Linked DNA regions of Daphnia pulex. The protein of the gene in region 1 purifies or fractionates together with the protein of each later gene. This does not show direct contact. Links are inferred from orthologs where the notes say so. Each region holds a gene or a part of one and is shown in the gene's direction. Other genes may lie near its edges.

What was found.
Region 2: the proteins of molybdopterin synthase catalytic subunit-like (region 1) and SAGA-associated factor 29-like purify together in Drosophila melanogaster (affinity purification with mass spectrometry; 5 studies listed by BioGRID, with this or other methods). This does not show direct contact. The link is inferred for Daphnia pulex from reciprocal best matches to the Drosophila melanogaster genes Mocs2B and Sgf29.

Annotation. Positions count from the first base shown.
Region 1 is NC_060026.1:10,881,574-10,885,503, reverse strand, and holds the start of molybdopterin synthase catalytic subunit-like, read left to right. Parts: upstream 1-1,142; 5' UTR 1,143-1,868; coding exon 1,869-1,997; intron 1,998-2,060; coding exon 2,061-2,173; intron 2,174-2,273; coding exon 2,274-2,461; intron 2,462-3,283; coding exon 3,284-3,378; intron 3,379-3,449; coding exon 3,450-3,615; intron 3,616-3,672; coding exon 3,673-3,930. Other genes in the region: pecanex-like protein 1, read left to right, coding at 1-155. UniProt on the Drosophila melanogaster protein: Catalytic subunit of the molybdopterin synthase complex, a complex that catalyzes the conversion of precursor Z into molybdopterin.
Region 2 is NC_060019.1:9,072,408-9,076,005, forward strand, and holds SAGA-associated factor 29-like, read left to right. Parts: upstream 1-1,415; 5' UTR 1,416-1,535; intron 1,536-1,594; 5' UTR 1,595-1,692; coding exon 1,693-1,731; intron 1,732-1,793; coding exon 1,794-1,928; intron 1,929-1,988; coding exon 1,989-2,111; intron 2,112-2,174; coding exon 2,175-2,333; intron 2,334-2,399; coding exon 2,400-2,628; intron 2,629-2,709; coding exon 2,710-2,888; 3' UTR 2,889-2,916; downstream 2,917-3,598. Other genes in the region: uncharacterized protein LOC124191408, read right to left, coding at 2,990-3,130, 3,188-3,286, 3,478-3,598. UniProt on the Drosophila melanogaster protein: Component of both the SAGA and CHAT histone acetyltransferase complexes, which both predominantly acetylate histone H3.

The DNA of each region.
Region 1 (3,930 bases):
ACGTGGATCGCGTCATCCTTCTCTTGAAAATAGACGATAAATACGTCCCAATCGCCGAATCGGCGGTCGAAATTGCATCATTGGTTAGTGTCAACATCGGGGATTCTATCGTCGTTAATGATACTAAGCTTAAAACCCAGGGAGTTGCTGATTGAAATTCCCAAACGCCGCAGTGTTTTTTTTTCGAGTCCATTAGGCTCATCGTTGTAATATGAAACGGTATTTTGGTTTGAATGTGAACCCCGAAATTTGTTCACGAACCTTGTTTTGTAAATAATGTTTGTGTTATGCGGAAATGCTATGTGTTATTTGACATTGACTAGGAAAAACCACTGTGATTTGAAAACATTGTCAATAACGTTTACCGAGTTTTTCAAATGTCGAATGAAATTTGAAATTGAGTAATTCGAAACAAATAAACTTTTGGATTGTTTGTAGTCTAGGAACTATATATTTAGATTTTTCCTTATTCAACTACCGCACCCGCCTCATAGTTACTGTTAATTATTAAAATCACGAAAATTCCCGTGTTAGTAGTGACACAAGGAGTGATGGTGAGAAAGTAAACACTTAACAGTCGCATAGAGGAGTGACTCCAGTAGCATAAGAATGCGCCTGTCATTTTATTTGGTGTCTGATAGAAAAACTTGTCGGATTTTTAAATAACAATAGCAGGGGTATGGAGAGAAAGATATCTCCATAAATCTCTCCATACCCCTGACAATAGTATGCCGGTATGCACATAGTTTGAAATTTGAATATTATGAAATTGTTGATTATGAAAGAATCGGTGAACGAATACGATCGCTCTGATACGATATAGATGTTATACCCTTGAAAAAGTAGTAGTCTAGAAAAAAATCGTGCGCAGTTTACGCCGATGCGCACCACAGCGGCAGATAGCAGAACTAAACTTTTTTTTACGCTTGACTACCTGTCTACTTCAAGTCCTTTGTTCGACAAGCAGTCGGTTCTCGTCTCGTTTCTTGAAGTAGACAGGTAGTCAAGCGTAATAAAAAGTTTAGTTCTGCTATCTGCCGCTGTGGTGCGCATCGGCGTAAACTGCGCACGATTTTTTGCTAGACCACTACTTTTTCAAGGGTATAACATCTATACACAATACACATAAAGTTGCATAGAATATTTGCATCGTTGTTGGCTTCTTGCAGATAAGGGGGCATAAAATTAATGTATATATTTTGCGCGCAAGAAAAACTCCGCGCATATTACAATTTTTGAATTTTTAAAAAATACGCTTTAGTCTCTTTATGTCATTGCCACTTCCCACTTGCCAGTGCCAGCAGACGACCAGTGACCAGACGCTTTTCTGATTGCCGAGCCTCTGTCACAGTTTTACAGACACATAGTCAACGCATAAGAAGAGCGTATTGCTAATCAAGATTACTACTCAAAGTTAAATTTACTTTTGCGGTGACAACTAATTAACATATATTTTTTTATTGATTGTTACATGTCAACAAATCTGGTTAAAATTATAGTCAGGGATGCTGTAGTCTTGACCTTGATCAATGGATGAAGTAGTTATTCGGATTCTGTTCTTTGCAAAGGCCAGAGAGTTAGTTGGAAAAGATTTTGACAATATTTCACTTTCCAGAACAACTTCAAGAATCACTGGGGCAAATCTTTTGTGCATCATTACAGAACAATTTCCAGCTCTAGAATCCATATCAAAGAACATTGTCCTAGCTGCTGATGAAGAATATGTTGAATTTGATCAGCTTATAGACATTAAAAATTGCAAGGAAATTGCAGTGATCCCACCATTAAGTGGTGGCTAGGTCGCTAGGATTCTTCATAAGCAGTGTGCTACAGCTTAATTCGCCAGAGCCCTTCAATTGTATTTTAAAATGGATATTATTAACTTAGTTGAAGAACAGCTTGATGTGAATTCAATCTACTCTAAAGTGGTTGAACATTCTACTGGAGCTGTGTCATTATTTGTGGGAACAACAAGGAATAATTTTGAAGGAAAGAAAGTAATGTCAATTTGAATAATCTAAAGTCAAATATTTCTAAATCAAATTTGCTTTATATTTAAGGTGATTAGTCTAGAGTATGAAGCTTTCAAGCCAATGGCATGTAAAGAAATCAAGAAAATTTGTGAGAATATTAGAGAAAAATGGAAGGTTAAACACATTGCATTCCACCATAGGTATAATTTTTTTTTTTACCATACTGTAGTTATAATGAGGAAACTTAAGAAACATTTTTTTGTTTGTTTGTTTGTTTTAATTACCTATTTTTCTTTCCAGATTGGGAGAAGTTCCGGTTGGTGAAGCAAGTGTTGTAATAGCTGTTTCATCCGAGCATCGAGCCGAATCTTTAGAGGCTGTTCAATTTGGGATTGACGCGCTTAAGAAGTCTGTACCAATTTGGAAGAAAGAACTTTATAGTGATGGTGCTCCTGAATGGAAAGCCAACAAAGAATGCCTGTGGACAAGTAAAAATTAAACAAATAATGCTTAGTTGTTCCTATTTGTTGTATGAATTTTGAATTCATAACAGTACTGATTCTTAACAAGTAACACAAATATTGAACCTTAATCGATTTTCCGATATCAGAACAATATTTGAAATGGTTTCCAGTACTTTTCATTAGTTAAAAATCGGAGCATGAACGTTAGTTTGGCTGTAGTTTCAATCTTACTAAAGTGATAATATCTACGTAGTGCTGTCAAGTCTGACATTTAAAATATAAGGTTTTTAAGGGTTTTTAATTCTCTTTTTATTTTTTAACTAAGCAATGTTAACATTCATTTTACTTATTATCCAAGTACTTTCCAGTTCCCAACGCTTTCCAATCTTTGCCCTTTCATTATATAATAACATATACTGTGTGATTCTAAAGATGAGTAGCTGCAATGCTGCATTCTACGCACTGCTTCAATCTATTAGACGTTTTCGTGTGGTTCGACAGCTTTGCTGCCTATAAGCTTTAAGCTAATTATCTGACGGAATAGGGACAACCACACATAGACGTCCTTTATTTAGTATTTAGTTGTGACTTCTGCATTTGTTCCCTTCACTGCCGCGTACGTCATTTGATTATTTGGCTTATAGAAGTATGGCTTAAAGAAAGCACAAGCGTTCAGAAGTTTTTATTAGTCAAAATTAAAAAAAATAAGTACGAAAATATTCTAATCTTGTTAGGTGGGGAAATTCGGGATTTGAAATTTTTTATTTCCATGAGAATGAGTTGTTGGAATATTTGCTTGATGTGATAGATGCTTAATAGTCAATAGCATGTTTTGAATTGATATAGATCAAGAAGAAGACGCTAGTCTATCTAAAAAGAGGAAAATAATGGTGGACTATGCAGCTGCCGATTGCGTTCAGATCAAGGCTTCAAATTTAGAGGTATTGTTGATCCGTTTTACTTTTATCAAGTCTTTTCTCAATAAATATTTTAAATGTTTTTAATTTTTCAGTTGGGAAAACGAATTACTGCGTTTATGGAACGGAAACGATCAGAGTCGGACGTATTCAACGTTCAGGAGTTCTGTCACAGACTACCATTAAACGAATTAGAGAATTCATGTGCTCGCACAGAGGCAGTGCTTGTAAGCAGAAAAGATAGTAAAAGTCATCTAAAGGGTAAAATTATTTTATTTTAAGGATTCAACGCTGATTACTGATTTCTTTACGTTTTAGTGTCGAGATGCGTAAATATGTGGGGACCACAAACACACTCTGAAGTTCCGGCTCCATCTTCAGTAAACACCAAATTGAATCCGACTCCTGCTATCCAAGAACGGCTACAAAATATGGAAAAACACTTGGGTTTTAATTCAAGAGAACAACCTATTCCACTGGATGTGTACGGACGCTTGAAAGCCCTTGAAGATAGAATCCTTCATTTGGAAAGCATTAGTCCTGAATATTTCGACGGACCGTTTAATCTTCAGAATA
Region 2 (3,598 bases), on another chromosome or scaffold:
TCACATTGAAATATGATGTTGAAGTGAATGTCTGCACAAGCTCCATTTGCGAAAATTCCATTTTGACAAGCTCCATTGCGAAAACGCGCCCTCAAGACATCTCGACTGGAAAATGACTGCAAAACCACTGCTCACACCATGAACGCTGCATCAACACCATTGGCAGCTCCAACATCAAACTAACCAAGAAATCCTGTAAATCAAGTTCAAAGGAAAACAATGAACCAATTACATTTTCAAATACAAGAAAGGGTTAATTTCTGTTTTATATTTAAAAAATACAATTCTATTGAGCAAATCTTTTCACAAAAGCTCTTAATTAGAAACATATAGTTGTTGTAAAATGTCATCTAAATCGAGAATTCAATGTCTGACCTGATTCCTGACAAAAATCACATGTGTAGCACACACTTTTAAAGTAGACTAAAATATAGGCAAATTCTAACCCACTCGAGTGTTCTAACAAGTTAAGTGCATGTCTGTGAAAGCTCTTGGCATAATTCAACTGGAAATTGAAACAATTTGCAAAACAAAACGTAATGAAGCTCAGGCTTTACTGCTCAACAGTTAATAGAAAAATTTAAATTACTTTTTGAAACAAAGTCACACAATTTTAATTCAGAAACAAAGTCTTGAATTAAAAAGTTAAGCAATAATTACTTTTTACTGTTCTGCATGGAACGAAACGTGCAACATTCAGCAAGAGACGACATTGTGGGAATGTACAGCAGGCCACATGCGATTACCAATTATGAATTGAAGACAATGTTACACGTTTTGAACCACACACAAAATTAAATTTTATAAAATTAAAGAATAAAAAATGGAATTACCATGTCTATGATCAACAATGTCACGTAAGAAAGTACCAGCAATGACTAAATTTTACCTTCTCGGACAGCGTCTCGACAGCAAAAGAAAGACTGTTCTGTCAGTCGTCTCAGGACTTTGACAGTTTGATGACCCATCCCCCTACACCCCTCTAGAAACAAACACACTAGAGCTGAATAGTTCAATCCCTAAACACGCTGAAATATTTAGCCACCTAGTGACAGCCCTGAGCATCCACGGACGACTAGAATGGGACGGAAAATAAACGAAATATTCGTCATCTCCGTGAAATACATTTAGTAGATAAAAAAAATTATCGAAAAATTAACAGGTGAGCTTTCTTGGTGGAATAGTTATCGTCAGTCATCACCAAAAAGTTACCACACAATGCCGATACATTTTTACAGGGATGTGCAAAATATTAAAATAACTGACTACAAAATAACTAAATAATTTGAGAGTTGAAAATGATCAAAGGCTATATAATAAAACCACTCGAAAAAAAGGCCTGATTTAGAAATTATTGCCATGGTTATACAATTTGAGCATGCTCATGCCATCTGCTAATGACGAATGGAACTAATACAGTTGATGCCATAGTTGCCATGGTGACGACAAAGCAACTGCCGATGTTACGATTTTCAATTTATTGTTTGGAAGGCTGATTTCCGATGACTGTTTTTAAACTCATCTTCATTAATTTAGTAAGGTTATTTTTCTGTGCATAAAAGATATGTAAATTTCAGAATTTAATTTTCTTTAGTTCTTGGTTTTCTTGGTGGCTTTTGCTTGGATTCCAGTCATCATTGCTGGTTTGAGCTCATCATTTAGGAGAGGTAGTTGTTATTAAACATATACATCATGGCTTTGTCATTAGATTCTGCCACACAGCAAGTCCAAGTAAGGTTGATATAATCAGTTGTTAAGGTATTTACTTAGTTCTAATTTGGATTGGGGTGCAGGAACGATTGAAGGGGATCTACAAGTTGGTCAAGCAGATTCAAGAAGAGAAAGTTCGTAATGAAGGTAACTTAAATGCTGTTATCAAAGCTCATGAAAAACTTCAGTCAGATGACAAAATTTCTCCATATCACAAGGTATTTCTATTCCCATATCACTAATTAATCAGCACTAATGAATGCCTATAAAATTATCAGTCTAAATTAAAAGGACTGTATTGCTCTGTGGTGGCTGATGCTGAAAAAGAAGAGGACCTTATTCGTAAGGCATTAAGCAAAATCTATGAAATTCGCGTTATCAGACATGAAAGGAGAATTCAGGTTATTCCCAAGAACGTAAACTTAGAAAATTTCACCTAACATTGTACTAACATTCTTGTTCAGGCAAAACAAGCTGGCAGTAAGGAAACTATAAGAAGAGGTGCTCTCATGAAAATGCTTCTCGTTACTGCTCAAACTCTCCCGCTGTGGATCAGTAAGTCAGGACAACAGCCACCAGCATTATGTGGAGCAGTTCCAGCTGACCCAACTTACGTTGCCAAAGTATTACATTATTCGAATGTCATAAACTGTTAATTGACTAACCGAAACACCTTATATGTATGTCAGCTGGGAGATATTGTTGCGGCTTTGGTAAAGAGTACAGACGGCGATGAGAATTGGATTTTGGCAGAAGTCGTTCAATATTTAGCTTCTTCTGGGCGCTATGAAGTGGATGATATTGACGAGGAACAGAAAGAGCGACACACTTTAAGCAAACGCAGAGTAATTCCTCTTCCTTTGATGCGAGCTAATCCTGAAACCGATCCCGATGCTTTGTTCTCAAAAGGAGCCACTGGTAAAAACAAAACAAAAAAATCGCAAATTTTAGCTGATCCGACGTTAGCATATTATTAACATACTAAACATTTGTTTTTAGTCATGGCTTTGTATCCACAAACGACCTGTTTTTACAAAGCGGTAATCAATCAATTACCCCAAACAGCTCAAGATGAATACCAAGTTCTTTTTGAAGATTCTAGCTATACTGAAGGATTCAGTCCGCCTTTGATGGTGGCGCAACGATATGTCATAGCTATCAAAGAGAAAAAGAAATGATTTCAAATACATTTGACCCTTTTTTCTATTCTCTCTTCTGTACAGCAGGATTTGTGTTTTTCACTACTTCTTCCAACCACGTATGAAACATGAAATAGAATCTAAATGGGGGAGTTTTTGAATCCGTAGTCGGCGTAGTCAGAAGGCTTCATTTTATCGGAAACTTTAGGGAAGTTCGGATCTCCTGGGTAAACTGCGGGTCTGGAGCCGAAAATTGCAAATCCTTTCTTGCGAGTCCAGTCCTAAAAGTTAAAATGTAGTATTTTGGGTGCTGTCCACTATTAGAGGCAAATACTTACATGAGAGTTGTACTTCAGATTGTAGGTAATTCCCAAAACCAGCCATCCAGCAAGAAGATATTTACCAACCCAATAGCGAGTAATCTGAGTTTTGTCGCCCTATGAATAAGAAAAAGAATTAGAACACAGATTTTATGAATTATGTAGTAGTCTCACAACCACAAAATGGACAGTTAATTAATTTTTAAAAGTAAAGTGTTTTAGTTCACATTACATCTGCTCGAACTAAATCGGGGAAATGTTACCCATAACAAAAGTTTTAAGTTCTGTTAATACTTATTATTACTTACCAATCTAGATTGAAGTTTAGAGAAGACAAAATCAAGGGGAAAACGATATGCTCGACGGATTGGATTCATTTCCATTTGGCTGGCACTAAATTGCGTACGAGGTTCATGGTGGCCCAACTCC